Mus musculus: one gene and its partners. The protein of the gene in region 7 interacts with the protein of the main gene of each other region in a pairwise test. Links are inferred from orthologs where the notes say so. Each region holds a gene or a part of one and is shown on either strand. Other genes may lie near its edges. The genes, in order: Saxo1, Sp2, Id3, Dcp1a, Ccdc92, Jup and Fhl2.

What was found.
Region 1: the proteins of Fhl2 (region 7) and Saxo1 interact in binary tests that used the Homo sapiens proteins (3 or more experiments, as listed by UniProt). The two-hybrid records come from large-scale screens. The link is inferred for Mus musculus from reciprocal best matches to the Homo sapiens genes FHL2 and SAXO1.
Region 2: the proteins of Fhl2 (region 7) and Sp2 interact in binary tests that used the Homo sapiens proteins (3 or more experiments, as listed by UniProt). The two-hybrid records come from large-scale screens. The link is inferred for Mus musculus from reciprocal best matches to the Homo sapiens genes FHL2 and SP2.
Region 3: the proteins of Fhl2 (region 7) and Id3 interact in binary tests that used the Homo sapiens proteins (3 or more experiments, as listed by UniProt). The link is inferred for Mus musculus from reciprocal best matches to the Homo sapiens genes FHL2 and ID3.
Region 4: the proteins of Fhl2 (region 7) and Dcp1a interact in binary tests that used the Homo sapiens proteins (3 or more experiments, as listed by UniProt). The two-hybrid records come from large-scale screens. The link is inferred for Mus musculus from reciprocal best matches to the Homo sapiens genes FHL2 and DCP1A.
Region 5: the proteins of Fhl2 (region 7) and Ccdc92 interact in binary tests that used the Homo sapiens proteins (3 or more experiments, as listed by UniProt). The two-hybrid records come from large-scale screens. The link is inferred for Mus musculus from reciprocal best matches to the Homo sapiens genes FHL2 and CCDC92.
Region 6: the proteins of Fhl2 (region 7) and Jup interact in binary tests that used the Homo sapiens proteins (3 or more experiments, as listed by UniProt). The two-hybrid records come from large-scale screens. The link is inferred for Mus musculus from reciprocal best matches to the Homo sapiens genes FHL2 and JUP.

The regions. Positions count from the first base shown.
Region 1 is NC_000070.6:86,555,504-86,559,480, forward strand, and holds the start of Saxo1 (stabilizer of axonemal microtubules 1), read right to left. Parts: upstream 2,801-3,977; 5' UTR 2,513-2,800; coding exon 2,472-2,512; intron 1-2,471. UniProt on the Homo sapiens protein: May play a role in the regulation of cilium length. Stabilizes microtubules at low temperature.
Region 2 is NC_000077.6:96,974,889-96,978,940, forward strand, and holds the start of Sp2 (transcription factor Sp2), read right to left. Parts: upstream 2,801-4,052; 5' UTR 2,740-2,800; coding exon 2,733-2,739; intron 1-2,732. UniProt on the Homo sapiens protein: Binds to GC box promoters elements and selectively activates mRNA synthesis from genes that contain functional recognition sites.
Region 3 is NC_000070.6:136,142,396-136,145,892, forward strand, and holds Id3 (DNA-binding protein inhibitor ID-3), read left to right. Parts: upstream 1-1,426; 5' UTR 1,427-1,483; coding exon 1,484-1,783; intron 1,784-1,898; coding exon 1,899-1,958; 3' UTR 1,959-1,981; intron 1,982-2,484; 3' UTR 2,485-2,997; downstream 2,998-3,497. UniProt on the Homo sapiens protein: Transcriptional regulator (lacking a basic DNA binding domain) which negatively regulates the basic helix-loop-helix (bHLH) transcription factors by forming heterodimers and inhibiting their DNA binding and transcriptional activity.
Region 4 is NC_000080.6:30,517,565-30,521,064, reverse strand, and holds part of Dcp1a (mRNA-decapping enzyme 1A), read right to left. Parts: intron 2,147-3,500; coding exon 1,388-2,146; intron 1-1,387. UniProt on the Homo sapiens protein: Necessary for the degradation of mRNAs, both in normal mRNA turnover and in nonsense-mediated mRNA decay. Removes the 7-methyl guanine cap structure from mRNA molecules, yielding a 5'-phosphorylated mRNA fragment and 7m-GDP.
Region 5 is NC_000071.6:124,859,422-124,863,703, reverse strand, and holds the start of Ccdc92 (coiled-coil domain-containing protein 92), read left to right. Parts: upstream 1-1,482; 5' UTR 1,483-1,689; exon of another isoform or gene 1,690-1,955; intron 1,956-4,282.
Region 6 is NC_000077.6:100,380,791-100,384,290, forward strand, and holds part of Jup (junction plakoglobin), read right to left. Parts: intron 2,865-3,500; coding exon 2,605-2,864; intron 2,456-2,604; coding exon 2,217-2,455; intron 1,088-2,216; coding exon 886-1,087; intron 1-885. UniProt on the Homo sapiens protein: Common junctional plaque protein. The membrane-associated plaques are architectural elements in an important strategic position to influence the arrangement and function of both the cytoskeleton and the cells within the tissue.
Region 7 is NC_000067.6:43,125,962-43,129,461, forward strand, and holds part of Fhl2 (four and a half LIM domains protein 2), read right to left. Parts: intron 2,470-3,500; coding exon 2,283-2,469; intron 1-2,282. UniProt on the Homo sapiens protein: May function as a molecular transmitter linking various signaling pathways to transcriptional regulation. Negatively regulates the transcriptional repressor E4F1 and may function in cell growth.

The DNA of each region.
Region 1 (3,977 bases), on a different chromosome or scaffold from region 7:
GGCTGCTCTTCCCACTGATGTCCAAAAATAGAGGCCTTCCCCCACTGATGAGTATCATGTACTACAGGTGAGATCATATTTAAGGAGCTAGCCATGGTGACACATGCCTACAATCCTGGCAGCAGCAGGGCTGAAGCAGGAGAATCATGAGTTGAAGGCTAACCTGGACTACATAACAAAACTCAAAAGCCAAAGAAACGCTGGGAATAGTAATATGGGCCTCTAATCCCAGGACTTGGGAAATGGAAACAGAAGAAACAGAAGTTCCCAGTTATACACAGTGTGTCCCAGGCCAGGCTGATCCGGGGTCTTTTGGAAGAGCAGACAATGCTCTTAGCTACTAAAATAGTTCTCCAGCCCTCAAGTGGCTGGAGGAAGTTGGGGAAGCCCTCAATTGTAATTCACTGAAGTAAAATGGCATCATGTGGCAAGCACTGGAGACAGCACCACTCCAGATTGTATGTCCCTAACGGACTCCACAGATCCCACCACCATCCTACAAAGGTGTGTTCTGACTACTCAACAGGTCAGTATCACAAAGCATACAAAAACAGAGCTTGGCTGTTCCAGAGCACACCATCACTAGATATGAAGCTGGCATACACATAGCTAAAAGACCATAGGAAGTGGGGTCCTACCTCTGTACTAGGTGGGGTCTATAGGACTGAGCCAGACGGGAGTCTTATAACATGAGCAAGATCTTAAAAGGTTAGGAGGCAGAAGAAGGTAGACGCATTTTCAAAAAGGGGAAAAAAGCAAGACAAAGGAACCATGAGTGGAGACCAAAAAGTTTGCTTTGAACTCTGAGATGCCCCATCAAAATCACAGGAAAAAAAAAAAAACTAAAATAGACTAAGCAGGCAGGAGGGAAGACTGACCAACATGAGAGTCAGACCCAAGGCACGTGACAGAACCGTAAAGTAGACACAGGAGGGGGAGGCAAGGAAGGCATGCCAGAAAGACTTTATATCCAGTGGAAGGAGCAACTTTGCAGGGTGGGGGAAAAAGAGAATCTGAGGACATCAGATAGGAATGGAGGTGTCATCTGACTCTACGTTCCTCACCCCTGATGAGTCCCCGTCTTCCTAGACTACATACTGTGCAAAGATGGGACTCAAAGACTTCAACCCCACTCTTCTGAGAGCAGAGATGGAGCCAGGAGTGATGCAAAAGGCCCCACAAGGAAGCAAAGTCTTAGAAAAAAAAAACAAACTGAATGTTCGGTAGTATGAAAAATTAGCCCTGGACACTGGCTGGTCCCACCTGACAAACCTCGAAAACAAGAGCCACACTTGTAGGTAGCAGAGCTCAGAATTCTGGGAAATGGCAGTATCTATCTGGAGTCTGCTGATGGGACTGTCCTTAGAGATTGCTCATGAACAGCTGGAGCAATGACACCTATTTTAAAGTTCCCAGTCCACTCTAATGAGCACTGATTCCTGAGAATTCAAAGTCTTCTGTTTTCAGAGTGTCCTCTTAACCTATTCTCCCAAATACAATAATTTTGTTATTTCATGTAACATATGTAGCTGTAAAATCCTTTGCAGATCTTAGGGTATTAACAGAATAGATAGAATCCATGTGCATAGACATACACCCTATCCCTTCACTTGTAATAGTCCTGTGAGGAGAGTATTCCTAGGGAAATTTGAATGGGGAGACGTTCGGTTCCTAGCCCAGATCCCACATTTAGTGACAACCCCAGAGGGCTAGTCCCCGAGGCCACTCCTTTCACTTGGTCTTAGCCAGAAGCCTGGGAAGCAAGTTTATGTACTGCCCCTTCTGCTATCCCCTGGCTGGCACAGCCCTGCAGTTCCCTAGCTGTCCTGGCAAAGCAGCCAGAAGGACCATCTCAGAGACCGCAGCCCAACGTTCCTCTCCAAAACCCTGCCTTCACTGTGCTTTGCACCATCATGGCCCTGAAGACAAGGGGCAGAAAGGCATCCTGCCCAAAAACTACAGCGAACTCGCCCCTGGATTAGCTATTTATTTCAACACTGCAACAGTTGGTGCCCGTGCACTATGGCTCCCAAAGTACCAATTTCTGTAAGTGAGAAACTCACCCACACAAAAGAACTATTGTTCTAACAATTGCAACAGAAGAAACAAGACCGGCCCCAGCCTGTCCAGGGTTTCCATCATGTCTTAACAGCATGTAGACAAGGCTGGGCCCAGCCCACTCTCAAAGTGCCTGAATCTCTACCCTGCAGAAAACACACACGCGCACACACACACACACACACACACACACACACACACACTACCTGATCAGCGCTGATTCGACATGTGTGCATCAAATATTAGTCAACAATGTTGCAGTTTAAAACCCGAATCCAGTGCGATGCTGCCTAGCGAAGCAGCGGGATGAAGAAGACACATCCTGTCTTCGTTCCAGGAAAGGGGCTTGGCACCCTAGGGAGTGTGAAAATCAGGCTCCCCTCCCCAGATTGCCCTTGGGAGGACTACCTTACCCGCAGGAGCACAGGTTGCAGATGCAAGTCCTCTTCCCCATCCTTCACCTCGGACTTTCCACTAAGGCAATCGCCTAGAGGATCCCAGCTGCCTGGGACAACGATCACACTTCTTCGGTGCCTTGACCGATGCTGTTTTGCTCAGAAGGAAACTTAGGTGGCCCTTTTGCAAAATTCTGTAGTCTATTCCTTTCCTGAGGCTGGCCTTGGGCAAACAGGCAGCACTTAGCACAGACAGCAAGCCAGGCCGGCTCACGTCTGTAAGCTGCTGCCACTGCGGCCAGTGGGAAGCACCCACCTGCCAGCACAGCCTGGCCCCTGCAAGCCACAGGGCCCAGGACTGAGTCCTCTATGACCTTCAAAGTCACAGAGGAGGGCATCTTGAGGTGGCAATGACATCATAAGGGCCTCCTGTGAGGTCAGACTTCACCTAGTATCTCACCTGGCAGACCCAAGACAGGGACTCTCCCACTGGAACTTGGAAGGAAGATGGAAGATACCTTGGAGGGCTTTAGGAAGCCTCCGAGTCCCAGAGTTAACCAACAGCACGGTCACATAATGCAAAGACAATGAAAAGTATCTTGTCGGGTGGCACTTTCCATCCCTAGGACACATTGTCCGTCTGGAGGAAATGCATGCCCGGACCTCCAGAATATTGACCCTGAATTCCATCTCCAGATCTTCCTGGAAAATCTATACCTGGCTGCCTGCATCTTGGAATTGCTTTCAACCACAGGCCTCTGCTTTTGAGAACAAAGCAGCATGAGAGGGTCCAGCCCTCTATTGCTCAGGTAATGACGCCTAGAAGCAGGGACGTCTCAAATGTTAGCAGCATCAGAACCTCAAGGCTTGACAAAAATCAGATTGCCAGACCCCACCCTGAGTTTGTTGTTTCTGAAATATGGGTTCCAGAAAACACGTGTCTCTTACAAGTTTTTAATGATGCTACTGATGCTGGCCCAGAGCCCACACTTCAAGGAGCGCAGCTATGGAGCTTCTATTGTGGCCTCTGACCTCTCTTCCCTAATATCTAAGCCGGTCCTGAAAACCACTGCAGACCTCTGCCCTGGAATCTCCTGTATCAAATAACCACCAGTCAGAGCACATGATGGCTTCAGCCTGTGATCCCGGCACAGACTGAGGCAGGAGGGTTGCTGCAAGGTCAAGGCCAGCCTGGGCTACAAAGTGAGACTTCACTCTATTTCAAAGCAGTGAAAACAACTATTCTGGGAATTGTGTTTTCACAAGATAGCAGCTTACTCTGACAATAAAACAAAGTCAAGGGCCTCTGCTCTCGAGCTGGGTGTGGCAGCACAAGTCTAGAATTCCAGCATCTGGGGCAAGGAGGCAAGTTCTGGGCTACATGGCTCTCCCTTTCTCAAAAGCAAGCAAAAGAAGTGCGGTAGCATACCATACAGTCTACTACTATAGGAGAATGTTTGGACTTAAACATTACTGTTTCTTTTTGTTGCTTTTATTTATTTTATTTTATTTTATTTTATTTTA
Region 2 (4,052 bases), on a different chromosome or scaffold from region 7:
TTTTACAGCAGTGGAGTGCTCAGGGTCTAGAAAACTGCTAGAGTCTACTAGCTGGCTGCAAGAAACTTTAAAAGTCGTTCTAAGGGCCATGGTTGGGCAACACTTGCTTAAAGAAAGCTTGGGGATTGCCACATATGCGTCAACGGTCAGACTTGACACTGCTTGCTACAAGGGATTATAACTTCTCCAAAACACTTAACCACTTAGAAGAACTAAGATAGTCAAGACCAAAATACTAACTTCTCTACCTGCTGGAATGGATAGGCTTTTTTTTTTTTTTTGGTTTTTCGAGACAGGGTTTCTCTGTAGCCCTGGCTGTCCTGGAACTCATTTTATAGACCAAGCTGGCCTCCAACTCAGAAATCCACCTGCCTCTGCCTCCTGGGATTAAAGGCGTGCGCCACCACGCCCGGCATGGATGGGCTTTTTACCCAAACATCTGCCGTGTAATCTTTTTTACTGCTTCTCTTCCCTTTGACAGGCCTCCACAGGCCCACATTTTTTGATATCTTCTAATTCATGTATTGGTTTTGTGCTCCCTCCCTCCCTGTGTGTATGTGTCTTTGTGTACAAAAGTATTGAAGTTGTTTCTTTCCTTCCAGGTGAGACACAAGGCCTCAGGTAATCAGACTTGGCAACAAGTGTCTTTACCCACTGGGCCTTCTCAGTGATCCTGGCCCAATGTTTAAATCAAATCTAAGTAGAGGTCATCTATGTAGTATCAGCAGGGATGTCAAACTCTTCCCCTCAGAGCAGCTGGGTGCCCAGGGGAAGATCCGGTTATGGACAAATCCTAGTTAGTTTTCTTTGGCAAAGAGCCTGTGTCTTTAGCAGCCTAGCTTGCGGAGCTCACAATGGTGTCAGAGCAGCTTATTTTTCCCAATGGCTGTTGATTTTACTCAAAGAGGCAAGTAGGAGGACTGGAACTAGACAGCTCATCCGTCACTTCAGCCAAAGATAACTCATGGTCACTGGTATTGATTGACGTCTGCCTGGTCACTAGAAACCAAGCAAATTGGTACACACCCATAACCTCGGCACTTGGGAGGCTGAGGCTGGAGCATAGAGATCTCAAGTTCAAGGCCTACACAGATCACAGGACAAACACACGCCAGCCAGGGCTTCACAGCAAGACCAGGCTCCAACACCCTACCACCTAAATAAGAAACCACTGCAACACTGACATAAGCCCTATTGGGAGGTTCTGAGATCCGCGCTGTTCATTGTCCTTAAGAATTTAAAAGAAAACAAGACACTGCAGTTATACTCATCGCTACAGACAATGGACTTCTTTGTGTCAATAATGGAAAATGCTACTGTGTGGTCTGGGCTCTTGTCATCCCCTGTGCCAGTTCACTGTGAGCTGGCTCACCCTAACCTTTCTAGCCCTCCAAGACAGCTCAGCCGTAGAGGTGCTTGTCCAACATTTGTGGATTCAACCTTCATCACCACAGGGGGGTGGGGGGGGGGTGTCTCAACTCAGGGTTTTGTCCTCTGTAATGCCAAGGGCCTTCTAGGGCACAGCATGGAACAGCTGTAGCCTGTTCCTGCCAGTACACACTGAAAAGTTAATCGCCTTTCTACAATGAAATCTGTATAAAGGGGACCCTTGGGCCAATTCCTGGCTCACAGACCACTGGCTATGGTCTGCCTCTCTCCTCGTTGACAGGCCTCTACAGGCCCAAACTTTTATTTTGATATGTAATAATCCTGTAACCTCCTAAAAATGGGGAAAGTTCAGGAGAAAAAACCAAACAGAGTCCCCCTGGATCATGTTAGTTATGAAACGATTAAACATGACAGGCTATTAGAATCAAAACCAAGGAATGTAGAGAGGACAGGTTTCTCAGTCGCCCAGCGCAAAAGACAGTTCCTTTTCTACTAAAACTAGAATAAGGCACTGGGAAAGAAACCTAAGAAGGAAGGGAAGATTCTGAGCACCCTTAAGCCAGCAACGCGGATGAAGAAAAGCATCTATTTTATTTCTTAGGTCATCTGTTACGAGCGATAGCGCCTACGCTTTTTTGGAATTCCAGTGCATTTTTGCCCAACCCCCCCACCCCCCGCAAGGGGCATCGGGCCATAGCCTGGGAGCTCTGTCCACAAGTTCTCCAAACTTCTAAAATTCCAAGAGCTTGCAGATACTAGCCGCAGGCTCAAGGATCCAGGTATAAACATTAAAAGTCGGTTTTTCGTTCAGCAGTCATCTGCCTAGGGCGTTCCCTCCAATCCTGCCACCCTCTGGGACTGCGGTGGCCCGGCCAGCAGGCTGCAGTTCAGACCAGCAGGGCCCATCTGACTGGCACCACCTGGGTCCCAAGCCTGGGCTGCCCACAGGACGAGCCCGAGGGGGCGTCGGCCGCCTGCGTGGAGCAAACTCGGGCGCAGGCTGAAGGCCCGGCGCGACCCAAGCTGAGGGGGCGAAGGGGGTTATCAGGCTCGCCCTGCTGCCCCCGCCGCCTGCCAGCCCCGGAAGCGCCGCCCTCCCGCCCGGGGCTCCGAGGGGCGGGGAGTCTAACGCCCCCTTCCGGGTGCCTCCGCCCGGCCGGCCAGCCGCGCTCCTCCTCCGGGCGGGAATCCTTCCTCCCCCGCCCCTCCCGTAGCCGGGCCCCGGCGCCAGTCCCAGTCCCAGGGGGGCACCCCCGGTTCCGGCCTCCCCTCCCCGAGGCCTCTGTCCGTCTTCCCGACCCTTGAGGGCCGGGAAGACGCCGCCGGCAGACGCCAGGACCCACCGCTCATTACGACATCTTCCTCCCTGGCCTCCGCCGCCTCCGCCGCCACCGAGAGCCTGACACCGCCCGCCTAGCACCCGCCAATCCCGGAGCCCGCCACCGCCCGAGCGACGGCAGCTTTTACCAATGAACGCTTGGTACATTGGGGACCGACAGCATTTTCAACCAATCATTGGGAAGCATCTAGAGTGACGTTGGTCTGGCCAATAGAACTGTGAAGTGTCATTGATAGACGGTAGGAGTCGCCAACCGGAAATCAACGGGGGAATGAACGACGTATCCTTTAGCCAACTGGCGGGAGGCAAAGTCCCGCCTGCTAGGAGGTTGATGGACAGCAACAGGAAGCTGGGTGAGGAGGGGCTTAGCCGAGAAGTGTTTTTGTATTGGTCGTAATTGACCTTCCACCCACCTCTAACCCAGCAGATAAGTGATAGATCTGCCCTAAAGCCAATCAGAAGTGCTACTGTGAAATGCCCCGTAAAGAGCTTATACATCTCTCAATACAGTCTGGCATGGTGAGTCTCAAGTGTAGCTGTCGGATACGCGGTGCCCGGCCCCCAGTGAGCGCATCGCCTTCACCTCAGGCCCTCGCCCGCCATCCATCGCCTCTCGAGAGTCGACGACCTGGCAGGAGTTGGGTTACCTGGCACTTCCTAGAGGGAATTGTCATTATGTCATCTCAAGCCCCTGTTAATCTTCACCAATGTTTCGCAGAGCTTCCCTGATCCTCTCAGCTTCAGACAGGCGTGTTTGAGCCTTTATCAAAAGCAGATCCCTAGGGTCGTCCCTAGTTACATTTGCTATTTCCCGGGGGGCGGGGTGTGTGTGCCTAGAATCTGCATTTTAGCCTGCGCCTCAGGTGGGCAGAATTGCACGCTGGCATCCTAGCGACCCTGCTTGGTCTCTGCTTCATCTCCTCCTGTATGAGGGGCCGTGCTTGACAGGCACCACAGGTAGGTTTAGCTTTCTCTTCCAGGCCCTCTGCGAACGACTAACTTAGGCAAGCTGTACGTAGCACTCAGAGGGAATTCACGCTGGCTTGAGACCTGCGTGGGTAGGAAACCCCACACCCCATCTGCAGTGGACCCTTAGACTCTTGTTGAAGCCAGAGCACTCACACATCCACCTCATAGTACCACCCTTCCTGGTTGGTTTTGTTTTGTTGTTTTAACCCACAGTGAGAAAAAAATGTTTTACATCCAGTAAATTAACTTATAAGAACATGTAACAAAGCTTCCCAAATCAACATTTGAGAGACATTGATCGCAGGTAGATGAGACACATACATCCCTGCTGGGGTCTTATTTGCTGAGGATCAAG
Region 3 (3,497 bases), on a different chromosome or scaffold from region 7:
ATGTCCTTCCAATTATTGGAACTGTCCCAGCTCAGAGGTCCCATTGTCCTGTTGATCAGTGCCACACACTACTGAACACTTAATTGTTTCCTGTGTTAATCTTGTCCCCAGACATTGTGAGATTCTTGAGAGCAGGAGCCTCTGTTTCATGTGAAGCAACTCCATAAATATTTACCAGGCTGATTGATTAAGAAAGCAATCTCGTGGCTGCAAAACCCCACCTGTTCTCTCCCAAGATGGAAACCAGAATTTTGGAACTGCTGAGGCTTCGGGGTCTGGGAAGCAGAGCCAGGCAAAGAATAGAGTGCACTGTCCTTTTGCAATATGGGATTGCCTGCCTGCTGGCTGCTCTCCTGCTCTCTCAGATGGGTGGCTGGGGCTACTTCAGCAGGACGAGGAATAATCATGTCCAGGTGGCTGCCCTTCCACAACAGAAAGGGACAGACAACGCGGCGATGAAATTGTTATTGTTTTCTACAGAGTGTGCAAAGTGTGCAAAGGGAGGGAGGCTGTGCAGAACGAGGAAGCAAACGCTAGACAGCTGACCCATTTGGTTCTATGTATGCCCGTGGAGGGGACCTTCTAAAAGGGTTTATGCAGCAAGCACCCCCATATTTGAAACCTTGTCCAAAATCCTAATCAAATTCACTTCCAAAGCACAACCGGGCATACATTTAGTTCCTAAAGGAGTTCTCGGTGGAAACGGTCCATGCTTTTTCTTTCTCCGTGGAAAAGGACTGGGTCCAGACTGCTCTTATCCTCTTTCCCCTGGTGCTCAAATAAATAGTGTTCTCTGCTTAGACCTCCCTTTCCCTCCTTCTTCTGCAATCTCAGCGCCTAGCCCAAATCTGTTTTCTTCATTGTAACCTCAGCTTCACCGCAATTAATTTTTTCCCCCTCTGGTCACAAGATAATTCCTGACGCCAGTGAGTCTGGAGGTCAGACGAGCAGCAAATTGGGGAACAAGGCGGCACTAATTCCTTACAAGTTTCCCTTGAAAATTCTTGAGAGAGAGAGGAGAGAGAGATCTTTAGTTGTTCAAGGGATTTATGACCTCAGAGCTGTGGGTTCGAACCAGTATTGGGGGGAGGGGACCTCAGAGAACTTGGGCGCCTCCAGAAAAGGCATATTCTTAAAAGTTAATGGTTTTAAGTGATTTTTTTTTTTTTTTCAAATCTGTGCTGGCTCAAGAGCCCCGCCTCTCCTCGGTATCAGCGCTTCCTCATTCCTCGCATCCGAGGCTCCGCTGTCCTCGGCGTCAGACCAGCCTAAGGAAGCCTGTTAGCAATTTAAACCCACTGTGAACGCCCAGGACCGGGGAGGCGGTGCCCAGGGCGGGCGGGGGTGGACCCTTGGCGGTCTGTTTTGAATAAGGGGGTGTGTCCTAGAGAGGACTCTATAAGAGTCGGCCGCTGCAGGCGTGCGCGCACTGTTTGCTGCTTTAGGTGTCTCTTTTCCTCCCTCTCTATCTCTACTCTCCAACATGAAGGCGCTGAGCCCGGTGCGCGGCTGCTACGAGGCGGTGTGCTGCCTGTCGGAACGTAGCCTGGCCATTGCGCGAGGCCGCGGTAAGAGCCCGTCGACCGAGGAGCCTCTTAGCCTCTTGGACGACATGAACCACTGCTACTCGCGCCTGCGGGAACTGGTGCCGGGAGTCCCGCGAGGCACTCAGCTTAGCCAGGTGGAAATCCTGCAGCGTGTCATAGACTACATCCTCGACCTTCAGGTGGTCCTGGCAGAGCCGGCGCCTGGACCCCCGGACGGTCCGCATCTCCCGATCCAGGTGCGAGAGGGAGCCAGACCAGGCTGCTCTGAGCGTGCGGGCAGGGATGCTGCGGGTCTTCCCTATCGCGTCCCCGAGTCCCTTGGCTAACTCGTCTCCTAACCTTCTTTCACAGACAGCTGAGCTCACTCCGGAACTTGTGATCTCCAAGGACAAGAGGAGCTTTTGCCACTGACCCGGTCGTCCTGGCACCTCCCGGTAAGCTTTCTCCTGGCGCGGGCGAGGAGGGAGGCTTGCATGGGAAATCCTGCCTTTGACAGAACATTGTAAGGCTTAGGGTTCAGTCGGTTTAGGGAAAAAGCCAAGCCACTGAAAGGCAAAAGCCTTATCTATAATCAGTTAGAATAAACGACAGAACCTATGTCAATATCACGTGCATTCCTTAGACACGCTGTCCCTTCTCATCCCGGGTGGCCAGAGCCCAGGGCAAGTGGGCGCGCGGGTCGCACCAAATGAGCCTTGGAGTAAAGGAAGCCCTCCCCCCTTTCCACTAGTGTTATTTCTAAGCGGGAGGGGGAGTGGTGACTCCGCCTGTGGTCCTTTGGCGCCAACTGGGTGGAGGCAGTGTGGGGAGCGGAGTTATCAGCTGGAGGTAGAGACCGAGTTTCCTCCCTGGCGCCGGCCAGTCTGCGGCATCCTCCGCCTGGGCGCGCTCGGCGGAAACTGACGGCTCCCTCGCTCTTCTCTCCTCCCCCGCCCAGAACGCAGGTGCTGGCGCCCGTTCCGCTTGGGACCCTGGGACTCTGGGACCCTCTCTCCAGCCGGAAGCCTGAGGGCATGGATGAGCTTCGATCTTAACCCAGCCCTCTTCACTTACCCTGAACTCAACGCCTCGAGGCTGGACCTGGAGCCCGAGAGAAGGACTGAACTTGGGTGGCCTGAAGAGCTAGCACACGCTGGTCAGCAGCTGGGCAACGTCACTCTGTCCCCACCCTGACTCAAGTCTAAAAGACTGGCTTTTCCGAGAATGGGGTGTCGAGAGGGTGTGGGGGGATGCGAGTGGCTGCCCTGCGCACTCTGCCAAGGCAGCATAAGAGCTGTTCTTCTGGTTTCCTTGGAGAAAAGCTCTGCTGCCCTGATTATGAACTCTATAATAGAGTATATAGCTTTTGTACCTTTTTTACAGGAAGGTGACTTTCTGTAATCATGTGATGTATATTAAACTTTTTATAAAAGTTAACATTTTGCATAATAAACCATTTTTGAACACTTTGTGTATGACATCTTGCGCCACCTCCTAGGAGCTTGGGGCGGGCAGATTTGCATACCCTTTTAGGGACGAGAAAGTTCCCAGCTGAAGCTGAGGGCTAGGGTGGCTTGGTTAGTAGGAAGGGCTGGGGTTGGGAATCCCCAAAAACATTGGAGGTTGAAAGCAAGGATCTATGATCCTACTCTCAATTACAGGAGCCTCTCCTACAGCCGGCAAGTCTGAGACCGAATCTTTTTATTTCTTCAATTCCTTGAAACTTGGCAGCAGCTCTTAGATGGATGCCGCAAATGATTGGGCGAACCTTCCTGGCGGCTCGGGGTCAAGTGTGGGGATGAACTATTTCGTATTTAAATAAACTGCCTCCATTAACTTCATGCTTTCTGGTCTGCCTTCCCCCCAGACTTCCAAACTTGGAGAAAGGAACCCTGCGGGTGAGGTGGGGGGTATAGTGATTTGTACTTTAATCCCAGCACTCATGAGGCAGAGGCACACAATCTCTTGAGT
Region 4 (3,500 bases), on a different chromosome or scaffold from region 7:
AAGAGACAGAGAAGGTCCTTTTGTTGTTTGGTTTTGAGACCTGGGTTGTTCAGGCTGGTCTCTAACTTGAGACCCCTCTGCCTCAGCTTTCTTCACTATGTTTTTATAGGTGTGAATGCTCATGGTCTTTGGGAAAGAATTAATGCTGCCCAGTAAACACAAGACAACTCCATGCAGACCAGGGTTTTTTTGTTTTGAGAAAGGATAGTCCTGGCTAGCCTGGAGCTTGCTATGTAGACCAGGCTAGACTTGAAATCACAGATTGCCTACTGAGACTAAAGGCATTTGCCACTATATCAGGCAAGAAGATCTTAAAATTAGCTATTGCCATGTAAATGAGTATTTACACATATGTAAGTGGTTTCTGCCAAGCAGCATGCAGGAGCGTCACTGTCTTCTAGTGCTGAGTATGGAGAAGGCAGGTGCAGATCATTACCTGAGCTTCCAGATCAACTGAGAGGTGGGGCAACCCTTTCCCTCACAACCAGAAACCCAAACAAACTCCCTTCATATGTTTCTTCCTGCAGTCAGTCCATCAGAGCAAAGGAAGAGGAGCGAGAGCACTCCTGGCCCGTGACACCTACACACAGCACAGGCCCTGCCCGCGCGCACATCATTCCTTCCTTCTTGTGTCAGACCCAAATACTGACAGGCAGGCAGCAGTCACAGAGCAGCACACCCCACTCCCTTCCAGCTGTGGCCATGTGATCATCACACTCTGCTCGTTTTCTCCCTGGTAAACTTGCTATTGAAGGGCAAACCTCTCCTTTACCCTCTCTACCAATCGACCACGAAGCCTCCCTGACCGGATACTTTAAAAATCTCCTTGTCCACAGTGCTCAACCCAGGCCCCTACTGCTCAGGCAAAGTGATTGACAGCTTGTCCTGGAACAGGTGGCCAGATTCCTGTTTCTGACATTACCAACAAGTCACTCTTCGTTCAGAACCTTTCAATGCCTTCCTAAGGTCTGAAATATAACTCACACTCCTTAACTACAATGTAGTCACCTTCCAATGCAAATTCCTCCAGGTCTGTTTACACAGCAAATCTGAGTTACTACAGAACCTGGAAACCCACGCATGCATATACACCTGCGTACAAGTCTACATGCCAAGATCAGTTACAGACCACAGATAGACAGACAGGGCCCCCTCACCCCACAGAGCAAATTTAGTTATAGACCATGGAGACAGACAGATAGACAGACAAGACAGACACACACATCATCTTTAGTTGGGTATGGCTGCTGCACAAAATACACACACACACACACACACACACACACACACACACACACACACACACACACACACACAAAGTCTCATGTCACTTAAAGCTGAGGCCTCTGTAGTCTTGTTTCTCTATGCCCTCCTGCTCCTGTCTTACCTGGAGGGTTGGAGCAAGCACCATGTTGCTCAGGGAGGCTGAGACTGCTGCTCTTGCTGCTGCTGTCTTAGAAGAAGGCTCTATGAAGCTCTCAGGGGTGGCCAGTTGGCCAGCTGCCGAAGAAAAGCTGGGCGCCATGGTTCCTTTTCCAAGCGGCTGTGCTTGTATTTGGTCATGCTGTGGGGTCAACCTGAGTTTCTGAAGCAGATCAACGCTTGGGAGGGCTGTGCCAGCTGGGTTTGCTAGGCTCACCGGGGCTCTGAAGGGGCTCTGGCTAGCAACCAGACTGCTGTGGCTTAGCTCAGGGACTGGCTGGTTCAGGAGTGGAGATTTCTGCCTGGGTGTGGTCTTTACTGCTTGTATCATGGTGCTATTCCGAGGTAAGTGGGGAACTTGTGTGGTAGGAGCTTCAGCTGGCAGAGTGGGGCTGAGGACAGGGCTCAGTGGGAGTGTGTAGCTTGGGGGATGTTTGTCACCCGACTGTGCAATGGAGGCGGGAGTGATCAGCACTGGGGTGCTGACTTCAGGCTGAACTGTGTGGTGAGCGGCAGAATGGATACCCAGGTTTTCAGACTGAGGGGCTCCCCCTGACTGCTCAAAGGGAAATGGGAGGAATGAGCTGGGCTCTTTCTGTGATGCATCTCCCAGCAGCTTGTCTGTGTCCTCTGACTCTAGACCCATAGCTGTTGGTTGTTCCTTTGGCAAGGAGGTTCCAAATAACTCTTCTACTGTCAGATGTTTATGACCAGACGGAGCAGACTGAAAAACAAAAGCAAGTGACAAAATCAAAGAGAGGCGCAGAAACCAATGTAACTAGGATTCTTTTCCATCATGTGCACATATGGAGAAGCAAGGACAGCGGATGAAAACAGCCTGGAGCAACCTGAGGTGCAGCAGGGCTCAGACCACCTTCTAGCAAAGTCTGTAGAGTGACAAAGTTCCGTACGGAGAACAGTTTTAGCATTTACTCTGTTTCCCCTGGTGAATGTGGCTAAGGTTGGGGCTATACACAACAAAGTTACCCACACCGAGTGTCCACATTAGTAACACACTGGCAAATGATGCCAGTGCGAGAGGACCAAACTCTAAGTGGCTCACTTTTATTGTTCTTGATAGAACGTTAGCACTGCACTGCAGATCCTAAACACCTAAGGCAACTTTAACCACTCAGTACTCAGTCATGACTCCCCTACACCCTCAAATTACAGAATCCTGAGGAAAAAGGAAGACATTTACACTGAATTTAGAGGTGTGTTTGTGTGTGTGGGAGCTGGAGCGATGGCTCAGCTTAGTTAAGAGCACTGGCTGCTCTTCTAGAGGTCCTGAGCTCAATTCCCAGCAACCACATGGTGGCTCACAGCCATCTGTAATGGAATCTGATGCCCTCTTTGGTATGTCTGAAGACAGCGACAGTGTACTCATATAAATTAAGTAAATAAAACTTTAATAATAATAAAAAAAAGAAGTTGGGGAAGTGGTTTAGTGGTAGAACTCTTACCTAGCATATGCACATGCATAAAGAATATATTTTTTATCCCTTTTTGCTATGGCCTTATATTTAGAGTGAGATTCTGAACCTGGAGCGCGCGCGCGCGCGCGTGTGTGTGTGTGTGTGTGTGTGTGTGTGTGTGTGTGTGTTTGGTATTATGAGACAAGGTCTTTCCACACTGCTTGGGCTGTCCTGGAACTATGTAGACTGGATTGGCCTTAAACTCAGAGAGATCCTCCTACAGTGAGTCTACATCCAAATCCCTTTATAAATTACAGGAGTAACAACAATAGTATCCTATCAATTCACAAGGCTCATTCCCTCATAGTCTTACATTCTCCAGATCCCACTATTCTCAAGTACTAACTGGAAAATTTACATAACTGTAAACATAAAAAAATATAATCACAAATGTAACTGTGACAATTATTTCACAGCTCTACTATGAAGCCAGGCTGGCCTTGAAGCTTCAACAATTCTGGTTCAGCTTCCTGATTACTGAATGCCCAGTAGTTTAAAAAAAAACCAAAAGCCAAAAACCAAACCTATTCTTTATGCTGAAACAAGACGGCTAGAGATTCTGTGACAAAAAATGAACTAAAACGTGCATGTGGTAGTTCATCC
Region 5 (4,282 bases), on a different chromosome or scaffold from region 7:
CTCTAAAACTCCCGATCGGGCAGACGCATCCGGGAGACCGACTTGCCTGGAGTTTGGCTAGAAAGGTCTCACAAAGAAGCAGAGTTCAAGGAGAGCGGAGAACCTGGCTGGAGACGGCGGCCCGCGCCCTCTCCAGGGAAAGCCGGTGCGCCCGGAGGCGGCAGGGGGAGTTGCGCCCAGCCCTGGCCGGCTTACCTGCCAGTGAAAGCCGAGCCCTGGCGGTGGTCAGACAATGGAGGCGTCCGGCGGCAGCGGCAGCAACAGCAGCAGCCTGGCGCGCTGGGGACGCGGGGAGGTCCTCATCACCTGGGCGGGATGCTGAGCGGCCACGGCCGGGGGACCGTGCAGTGCTGGAGACACAACCCGACACAAGAGCCCTGCAGCGGGACCGCTCTACGACCCTCCGCCGCCCCCGCCCCCGGCCCCTGGGGCCCGCTCGCGCGGCCATTACCGCTCTCTCGGGACCCGCCTGGATGCGCTCCAGGGCGCGGCCCTCGGCTCCCAGAGCTGCCGCTCTCCCGCCCGCCTCGGCCCCGGACAACAATGGGGCCCCGGTCCGGGAGAGTCCAGCTCCCGCGGGGCCTCTTCTGCCTCATCCCGCGCCCGACCCGGGCCCTGCGCCGCAGCGGGCACCGCGCTGACCTTCCCTTCCCTCCTCGCCATGCCCGCGGCCCAGGCCCGGTTGAAGGATGGGTTGTTTTCCTTTTCCTGACTCCCCCGCTTCCCCCCGGGACTCTACCAGCCCGCCTTCCGCTCCCCCAGCCCCAGCCCGCTAGTCGGCCCCACGCCCCGGCCTGAAAAGCCGAGAGACTCAAACGCACCGACTCCGGTCGGCCGCTCCAACTCCCTCCCGAGCGTGGCCGAGGAGCGCGTCCAGGCCTCGGACTCCGCGCGCGCCCACCCCGGGCCGCCCTCTCTCTCTCCTTCCGAGGGAGACACCTCACAGGTGCGTCTCCGAGCCGCGCGCGCGCGCTCCGCACACCCAGACGCCTCCGGGAGGATGGGGGTGGTGGGAGGGGAAAGACGGCGCGCGTGCGCACGCGCCAGGCCGGCCAGCCCCATTCCCTCCCATGGGAGGGGCGGGGAGAAGGAGGAGGGCATCGCACGCATGCGTCCCGGGGCGTCTCAAAGTCCCCGCCCACACACGCACGCACGCGCGTTCCCGCTCCGGGTCCTCCACCCCTCCTCCTTGTCCCCGCCCCACCCCGCCCTGGTTACCCCGGGCAACCGCAGTGCGGCCGCACCTGAGCAGTGCGCTTGCGTGTTGCTAACTAACATCCCTTTTTTTTTTTTTTTTTTCCCTTTCCCTTCATCCTTGCCTTTGCCTTTGCCCTGCCGCAGCCGCAGGGAGTGGCGCGTCGTCCCCTTTCCCCTCCGCAGAAAGAGCATCGATCCGCCCGGGTCCTCCCCTCCCATCACTAGCAGACCGCCGCCGTGTCGGCGCCGCACCGTCTCCTCAGACATCCTCCTGTGCGAGGACTAGTCGGGTAGCCAACGGCTCCCGGCGTGCACCGCGGCGAGCGCTCGGAGGGAGCGGACGGGATGCGACGACCGGGCGGCGTCTCTTGAGTCTCCGTGCCCCCCGCGGCAGGGCCGCCGCGCACCCGGCTCCCACCGTCCCTGCCCATGGGCCGCGGGCCACCGCGAGAAGCAGGCCGAGCGCCGCAGCCGCCTGAGGGACCCTGGCAGGTGAGGCGCGCAGCCTGCGCACGTCCAGAATCCTTGAGCTTCGCTCGCGGGGGGCTCGGAGCCAGGCTGCGCACCGGCGCGGCGGGGGAGGCGCGGCGCAACGGCTGCAACCGCCGGCCCGGGCCGGGTACGAGCCGCATTGCGGGTGCGGGGCAGCGCCCCGGGGTCCGGCCCCAAGCCGGCGGGATGCTGCGGGCCTCAGCCGCCTGCCCGCGTCACACCTGCCGCCTCCCGGACCTGCAGCTCTGGCGACCGGGTGGCTCCGCGTAAGTACTCTTTGCCCTGAGCTCCCGGGACCCGCGGACGCGCACGCTGGCCACGCTCGCAGGTAGCGGGCAGCACCCCTGGTTGCGGTTCCCTCGGGCTGGATCCGGCCCTGCGGGCTAAGAGTGTCAAAACCTCAAGTATCTTTAGCTGCACGGTCTAGTTCACTGATGACAGAGAGGTGCCACTGATGACAGAGGGGAGCCGGGAGAGGAAAATGTGACCGTGCTCTGTGACAGGTGGCACCGGTCGGTTTCATAACAAAGTACAGGCTTGCAGACACCTTTTAGGAGTGTTAAAAGCAGCCGGGCGTGATGGCGCACGCCTTAAAATTTCAGCTCTCCAGAGACAGAAGCAGGTGGATCTCCGAGTTGGAGGATAGAGAATTCCAGACAAGCCCAAGGCTACATGGTGAGATCCTGTGTCAAAGGAAGGAAGGGAAGAAAGAAAGTTAGTTAAAATCAGGATCGCAGACAGACTAAGTTTGAAATTAATTTAAATAGCATTGGTATTATTTTATTTGCACAGCCAAGAATTCCCTGGCATTCTATCGCCATTGAATTGTAAGGCTTTTCAGATGCTAGAGTTCCAAGTGACTTTCACCTCCAGTTTTTCATGTTTTCCCTTTGGCTAACTGTTCACCAAAATGGCTGAATATTCTAATCCGTTTTGAAGAAAAGCTTTAAGACTTGTGCTTCTTTATTTTGTATGTGTATATATGTGTACCACTACTGAAAAGCCTTAAAACAGTTTGGATTACTCCTCTGTAGCATAATGACCCAGTTTTGTTAGATTTTTCTGTTTGGATCTGAAGTGTGGAAGGATGTGGGATGTAGGGCTCTACTGAGCTCTAGCCCCAGCCCTGGTTTAGCTATATTTTAAAGTATAGAACAATGACCTGAATGGGCCAGAATTTTTCTGTTAACACACTTAAACATCTCAAATTGGTGTTTTGAAAATTAGACATTTTTTTAAACGTTGAATCTTTTCAAAGAAACACATGAATCCTTTGTTTAGAGCAGCTCACTCATTCTGGGTTCTTAACTCTCATCTGTCCTATGTTGGAAAATCGATTTTAACCTCGTTATCTAATTGTCAGGATGTGTTTGCAGCAGGACTGACGTTAATTATGATGTCGATGCTTTTAAGAAATACTTATAAAGCATTCTCTCGTATTTCTGGCAAGAAGACATGCAGAGCTTTTTTTCTTTTTTCCTTATCTAAAACAAGGTCAGCCATAAATAGATTCTAATGCATACTGGGTGACACATTTATTAACTAAGATTAACTAGCTCCTGAACTTCATATACCACTGAGGGCAGTGGTAAGGCACCCTGCAGTACTGAACATACAGAGGCAAGTTCCAGACCAGCTAGGAAGGCTCTGATGGTTCATCCTGTAGACGCATTTGGCAGGGACAGAAAGACCTGTGTCCTAATGGTCTTCAGACATTTGAAGGTCTGCCATGCAGGAGGGATTTTATTGCCTTAGAGTAATTCCCAGCAAGGAAGAGGACACTGAGTACTTAGGGGAAGACAGCGTCCCTGGTGGTGATGTAAAGCAGAATTACGATCAGAACTTGAGCAGCGAGAAGAAGGGGCAGCTCTTCCCTCGGGCTCCCTCCCAGGGCAGCTTGAGTGAAGACTAGAAGGGCTGGAAGGGCACAGGTCTGATTGAGGGTCTCCTGGGGTTCTGGTGGCCACTGGATTCCAGGACTTAGTTTCCCTTCTAGCTCTGTGGGAGTTTGTTGTTATGTGTTGCAGCTGCCAGCTTCTACAGCTGTGGGCATGTTGACATCCCCAGACACCTACTTGAATCCTGGGAAGATAGGAACTGGCTTATTTGCTTGGTGTCAGAGCTAACTTGAACCCCATTTTGCCTGGTTTGGGGGAGCTTCGAGATAATAAATCACTCCCACTGTCAGTGTGATGTTTGAAATGTATTAGATACTTTTTCCTCTGGCTTTTCTGGAATGACCATCTAGTCAAGATAATTGCCTTTTCTAGGAAGGAAGTAGGAAATCATTCTTGCTAAAAATGAGGTAGTACCCGTTTTCTGGGAGTCAGCAGGTTGTAAAAGTGTGCTTTCCTGAGCTAAGGACATTACAGATGGTAAAGACATGACTTTTGTGCTGGCTCAGCATCCTACTTTCTATTTATTTCATTACTCAAATATGACTCAAGTTTCACAGCAAAACAGTCAAGTCATACCTACCTAAAGTAGTTGTATTCAGTGTTTTCTGGATGGTTTCTAAATATATATCCAGGAAGTAAAACAAAACTATAAAGTAGGGTCACGGTGAAATGAAGAGAGGACGAAAAGGACTGTC
Region 6 (3,500 bases), on a different chromosome or scaffold from region 7:
CTGTAAATGCTTTTGAGACTATCAAGCCAACAAACTCGGGGGTTTGGGGGGTGAGGACGATGATATCAAATGCTGGCAAGGATGTAGCAAAGGAAAGCTAGTCACAGCCACTACCACTGACAGTGATGAACTGTAGTCCTTTTGGAAAGAGAGCTAACCCACGGAGTAAGTCTAGACGTGCTTAAAAGTAAATAAATAAAAATCAAAAGACCTTTTGAGCTCTGCCAGGTCTGGTGTTGCACACCAGCAGTTGGGAGACCGAGACAAGAAGATGTAGGATTCCAGGTTAGCCCGGGTTAGTTAGAACCTGTCTAAAATACACAGGGGGCTGGAGACGGCTCAGGAGTTAGGAGCACTGGTGGCTTTTCCAGAGAACCTAGGTTGGATTCCCAGCACCCATATGGTGGCTTATAACAATCGGTAATTTCAGTTCTAGGGGATCTATTACCCTTTTCTGGCCTCCAAGCCATCTTTCCACCCTTCCCTCTTTTTTTTTTTTTTTTTTTTTGGTTTTTCGAGACAGGGTTTCTCTGTGTAGCCTTGGCTGTCCTGGAACTCACTTTGTAGACCAGGCTGGCCTCGAACTCAGAAATCCGCCTGCATCTGCCTCCCAAGTGCTGGGATTAAAGGCATGCGCCACCACCCCCGACCCCTTCCCTCTTTTCATCTCTAAGGACTGAATCCAATGACACTCAGCATCATTCTATTCTATCACTGAGTTATACCCTGATCCCTAATTCTTTTCTCATCCTTAAATCATTAGTTCTGAAGAATTCAGAACTAGGGTAAGACACACATTCATCTGTGTAGACACATCAATATGCCTTTCCGGAAGTGGCCAGAAGCCACTACGATGCTGCTGTAGGCTTTGGTGGAGGGACCCACCTTGCTCTCCTGGTTGCCATAGGCCAGGAGCTGCAGGCAGTCAGTAGTGATGGCCAGGAACTTAGGGTTGTTCTTGTTGAGTAGGGGCACCATCTTCTGCAGCCCGTCTGCCAGACGCACCGCCATCTTGGCGCCCTCCTGATAGAGCAGCAGGTTGTGCAGTGTGGTGATGGCGTAGAACAGGACAGATTCTACGGGGGAACTGAGGAACAGAGAGGACCTGTGTGAGCCAGTTGCCGGAATGTGGGTCTGGAAGGAGTCCCTGCTACATCCAGAGAGCTCACCCTAAATCAACACCCCCCATGCAAATATACCCTTACCAAAATCTCATCCTTCCTTAAGCACAAAGCTTTTTAAATTTTGCTCATGTGTGTGTGTGTGTGTGTGTGTGTGTGTGTGTGTGTGTATGTGAATGAACGTGTATGGAGGCCAGAAGACAAACTCAGGTGTGTACCTTAGGAACACAGTCCCCTTCTTTAGACACAGGCTCTCTTACTGGCCTGGCACCCATTAGGCTAAACTGGTCAGCCAGCAAGCCCCAGGGATGCTTCTGGTTTCTGCTTCCCCACTGCCAGTAAAGCGCTTTATGGCATCTAGCATATTCATGTGGGTGCTGGAGAGGTAAACAAACACTCTATTGACTGAGCCAACCCCCAGACCCAATCCCACCCTTCCTTTCTTTTTTCTTTTTGGACACAGGTTCTCACTATGGAGCCCTGGCTATCCTAGAACTCTCTGTATAGATCAGGTTGGCCTGGAACTCATAGACATCTGCATGTCTCTCGACCTCTTGAGGGCTGGGATTAAAGGAGAGCCCCACTATGCCCAGCCAGCCCCACTCTTAAAGACATTGGCACACAGTGCATCTTCTCTCTACTCTCGCATCTGAGGTTCCGCACGGTGCTAATTACATGCTAGGTCCCTGGGCAGCTGAGTCACTACTGTGTGTAAGGTCATACAGGAGAAGCTGTGGGAGAGGATAAGAGGGGAGTGAAATCAACTTCTACCCTCAAAGAACTCCCATTTACATCAGTACCAGGCCACGGGGTGAGGAGGAAGCACAACTGGGGGGGGGGGGGTCAGCCATGCTGTTCTCTCCTGCTAGGATAGCCTGCCCCTCATCTACTCTGACCAAGTATACTCAGTTGTCAAAGCTCCACCCCCAGAGTTGTCAAAGCTCCACCCCCAGAGTTGTCAAAGCTCCACCCCCAGAGTTGTCAAAGCTCTGCCTTTGGACACTCTCAACCATTCTTTGTAACAACTTGTATTGGAAGCCCAGGAAACGGGATGCTGGGAGGCCCCTGGCTCCCATGCAGCCGAGAAACAAGTACCTGAGCATTCGGACTAGGGCAGGGATGCCTCCAGACTTGAATATGGCGAGCAAGCCCTCTCGGTGGTGAGAGAGGTTGTGCAGGATGCTGGTGGTACACCGGGCAGTATCCAGGTCACTGGTGTTCTGCATAGTCCGCACCACCGCCGCCACCAGCTGGGGCGAGCCCATTAGAGCCCGGCGGGATGCCTCCTTCTTGGACAGCTGGTTCACGATCATAGCCGCCTTGGTCACCACTACCTGGAGGAAGTGTGTGAGACCTTGAGCAGATAGCCTCAGGCTCCTCCTCCACAGAGGGAAGGAAGGCAAAGGCCGTGGCATCCTTAGATGACCCCTCCCTCTGAGGACAGCCAGCTCCATCCCACCCCACCTCCAGGCCCTTCACAGACCGGGTCCTCATCGTTGAGCAGCTTGGTGAGCTCAGGCAGAGCCCGGGTGGCCAGCTCTGCATCATCCTGGTAGTTGATGAGATGGACGATGGCCGACTTGAGCAACTGGGATGGTTCGGCCAGGCGCTGCAGATTGGTTGTCTGCCCCTCCACCTGGGTGGCCAGCAGTAGAGAACTGTCCTCGCCTGAGACCCCTGGACACATGGCCTCCCGCACCCGCTTGGCTCTGGCCGTTGTGGACATCTGGTATTCCAGGTCACCTGAAAGCCAAATGACATAGGACTGAGCTACAGGAGATTTTACTGGGACCCTGAAGAGCAAGGCAAGCCTTGAAGGTGTGGCTCCAAGCTCCCTCATGTTTCTCCAAAGTACAGGGCATCACTCATGATTCTGAACCTAACCAGGGTCTTAGGGGACCATCATCGCCCTTGTCTGTATCATCCCATTGAGAGCATGAGGCCCTCCTAGCTCATCCAACTCTATGACAACCAAGATCATGATTTGATTTTAAAAGACTCATGTCTGACACCTATCATTACAAAAATGTCTGCAGCAGAATATGTATTTATTGAAGTACAGTTCTAGGAAGTAAACGTAGGGCCACATATTTGTTCAGCAAGCACTTTACCACTGAGCTATATTTCCAGTCTTTAAAAAAAGAATTAGGGGCTGGAGGAATGGTTCTGCCATTAAGAGCACATACTGCTCCTGCAGAGGACACAGGGTCCATTCCTAGCACCTACGTGGTGGCTCCCAGCCATATCTAACTCCAGTTCCAGGAGGTTCTGGCACCTTCTTCTTGCCACCATAAGCACTGCACCCACTTGGTATATATACATAACATACATGCCGGCACACACTCACACACTTAAAAAAATTAAAACTACTTTAAGTTT
Region 7 (3,500 bases):
AAAATCTTCTATTATGTTTCAAATGACCAAAGATGTTACTCTATGCATGCCTCTCTCTGAATATTAGACATTTTAATTTAATTTAAAATCACTGACATTAAAACTGGTCAACACCTTCTCTAACGTGTTTCCTCTGTTAAGACACATTGCCTTCTTATACTCAAGGGCACTACATGGAAATGCCCTGCCCCCCCAGTCACAAAAAATGTAAAAGACAAAAACAATCCCCACATCATTGTGGGACACATTATTTAAGCAGGGAGCTAGAGGCCAGGCAGTGGTGGTGCATGCCTTTAATCCCAGCACTGAGGAGGCAGAAGGAAGGGTATCTCTGTGAGTTCGAGACCAGCCTGGACTACAGAGTGAGTCCCAGCACAGCTAGGGCTACAAAGGAAGAAGGGAGCTAGAACACAGGGGCAGAGCTTCATCTATCCAGTGTCAGCCAGAGCATAGATGCGTGGGAACTCAAACCCACTGCTGCTTTGTGCACATCTGTGGGTCACTACCAGCAACCTGGGTATTGATTTAAAGTTGCATACCTATATGGATCGATACTGTGGTCAATTATGGATGAGAAGTAAGCATCACTGCACATAGAAAATTTTAAATTAGTGTTTTCCAATTATTCGTAAAAGCAGTATAAATTGTGTTGAAGAGAAAAAGTACTAAGGATCTATTAGAAACCTCATCGAAGCTCGGTATGTATAAGTGTTTGGAAATACAGCTAAGAGTACATTCTAGTTTGCAGTTTCAAAGTTCTTCTATATGTTCTTGAAAATCAATCATTGCTTTTCAGAGCATTAATTCTGCTGTTTTAAAGGAAGAATTCTGGTTCTTCTAACCTTTTCCCCAAATTCTATAACTGCAGCAGACATCCATGTCTAATATAAAGTACTTCACATTCATACTACGTTTCCATAAATTATAAAGTGTTGGAGACATTTCCTTAGCAGAAGCTAGGAAAACAGCTTCAAAGATGGGCAGGCCACTGAAAATGTCCCATTGTCCTCCCAAACTAATTTCAAAGGAAATACAGTATCTAAGTCGCTAGAATCAGATGTCTCAACAAAATTTATCTATTTTGTATATTTTAATTTTACATGCAAATAAAGCATGAACCAAGGCCTGCCAGCTGGGAAGTCCCATAGGAACAAGACAACTTGGTTCTAGGCAAGGTACACAATGGTCTGCAAGCGTGTCTGTATAAAGAAAGACCCTACCTACAAAGCTATAGGGGAAAGTCTGTGTCTCTCTGCTTCCTGCCACATATGTCTACTGACAGTGCATCAGGGATGATGCAATGTGGGCTGGTTAGCTTTTTGTCAACTCTATACAACCTAGAATTGTCTGGGAAGAGGGAACCTCTTCCAGTAGCCAAGTAGTCTGTCAGGCATTTTCTTGATTAATGATTGACATGGGAGGGGCAAGCCCAATGTGGAGAGTGTGACCCCAGACAGTGGTCCTGGGCTATACAAACAAGCATGTTGAGCAAGACATGAAGAGCAAGCCAGTAAGCAGCACTCCTCTATGGCTCTGCTTGGATTCCTGCCTCCAGGTTCCTGCCCCTTTTGTCTTCATGATGGAGTATAAACAGTAAGACAAAAGAAATCCTTTCCTTCACATGTTGCTTTTAATCATGGTGTTTATCAGAGCAACGAAGAACAAACAAAAACAGGTAGACTGAATGAATGGGATTGGAAAGACCACTTCAAGAAACACTCCTATATATGACAGAATACTTGCACTCTCACCCCCTGCCACTGATTGGTACATGGTGAAAAATCAAAGGGCTTTAGTCTGGAGCCAGTAGTCTTTACCTTCAATATCTTCACCATACTCAATAGCTCAGCCCAAATACTAGTCTGTCAACCAGGCACATTTTGGGCTCTCACTTTGTCTAACTCTTTGGGGACTGTGCTACTCAGAATGTGTCCCCACCTAGCTGTGGTTTGTGGTTAGAAGAGTCTCGTTAAGATGACATGAATACTTCAAATACCAGGTCTGCTGTTGGGGCTGAAATGCACCATTCATTTTGTTCATGTGACTATAATAGACTCAGACCCAAGCAGAAACACTCAATGACATGCCAATGGTTCTGCATCACCAGGCTTAAGGGGAAGCCACCAGCTGTGTTCTGAGGATACACAGCAGAGGCAAAAATGCTTGTTGGGCTCAGAGCCTCAAGATATTAACAACACTCTTATGCTAACACTCTAGACGTCCATGTTGTTCCAGGAAGCAGACAGTCTCTACCCTGGCAATGGCCTTCCCAGGACACTTACCACTAATGGGGTTGGTGCACCCAGCACATTTCTTAGCGTACAAGTCACAGAAGCAGGTCAGGCAGTATGGAAACTCATCCCGTGCTGTGAAGCGTTGCCCAGATAGCTGCTTCTTGCAGGCTGTGCACACAAAGCATTCCTTGTGCCAGGGCTGCTCCCGGTAAGTAACACCTCCTGTGGTGATAGGCTGGGGGAGACAAGTGTATGAGTCAGGGCTACCCCTGTTTCTGGTAAACATCTGTCACTGCTGTTGCCCATGAATGATGTAAGACACGAGCCCCACCCACAACAAATATGCAGTTTGTTAAAGTCGACATGGAGGGACCTGTGGCTCCAGCCACATATGTAGCAAAGGATGGCCTTGTCAGTCATCAGTGGGAGGAGAGGCCCTTGGTCCTGTGAGGGCTCTATGCTCCAGTGTAGGGGGATGGCAGGACCAGGAAGCGGGAGTGGGAGGGTTGGTGAGTGGGGGAGGGGATAGGGGGTTTTCGGAGTGGAAACCAGGAAAAGGGATAACATTTGAAATGTAAATAAAGAAATTATCTAATAAAAAGAAGAGAAGAGGAGAGGAGAGGAGAGGAGAGGAGAGGAGAGGAGAGGAGAGGAGAGGAGAGGAGAGAAGAGAAGAGAAGAGAAGAGAAGAGAAGAGAAGAGAAGAGAAGAGAAGAGAAGAGAAGAGAAGAGAAGAGAAGAGAAGAGAAGAGAAGAGAAGAGAAGAGAAGAGAAAAGAGAAAAGAAAAGGAACTTCATACCCCAGGCACCTCATGTTATCATCCATACCATTGCTACGGTTCCTGGCTTTCTCCCTAGTGATGTGGGGTCTTTAGGTTTCACAGTAGTGCAGGGGAACAGAAGGAATGAGTGCCATGGGGCATTGTCACCATCCCAGATAGGAAGGTAGCACAGTGGTCAGAGATAACATTGAAGGCATCGACTGCTACTTCTGAGCAGCCCTGAGATCCTGTAGCTAGAGACCTCAGTACCTCAGTTCTGTCTACAAAGTCGGAGTGATGAAGAGAAAAGGATGAATCTCTGTGGAAGCCTTCCTTCAAATCCCAGCAACTGATGGCCTCTCCAGCTCTACTCTCATGCTCAGCCTGTACAGTAACTAGAGAGGCAGAAAGGCAGAGGCTTTCTGGAACCTGCATCTGCTGGCGTGGGACCCTGAAGGCCTTTATCCTCGCCCTATCTTAAGTCATAGGAGGTTTCTGAAGAAGC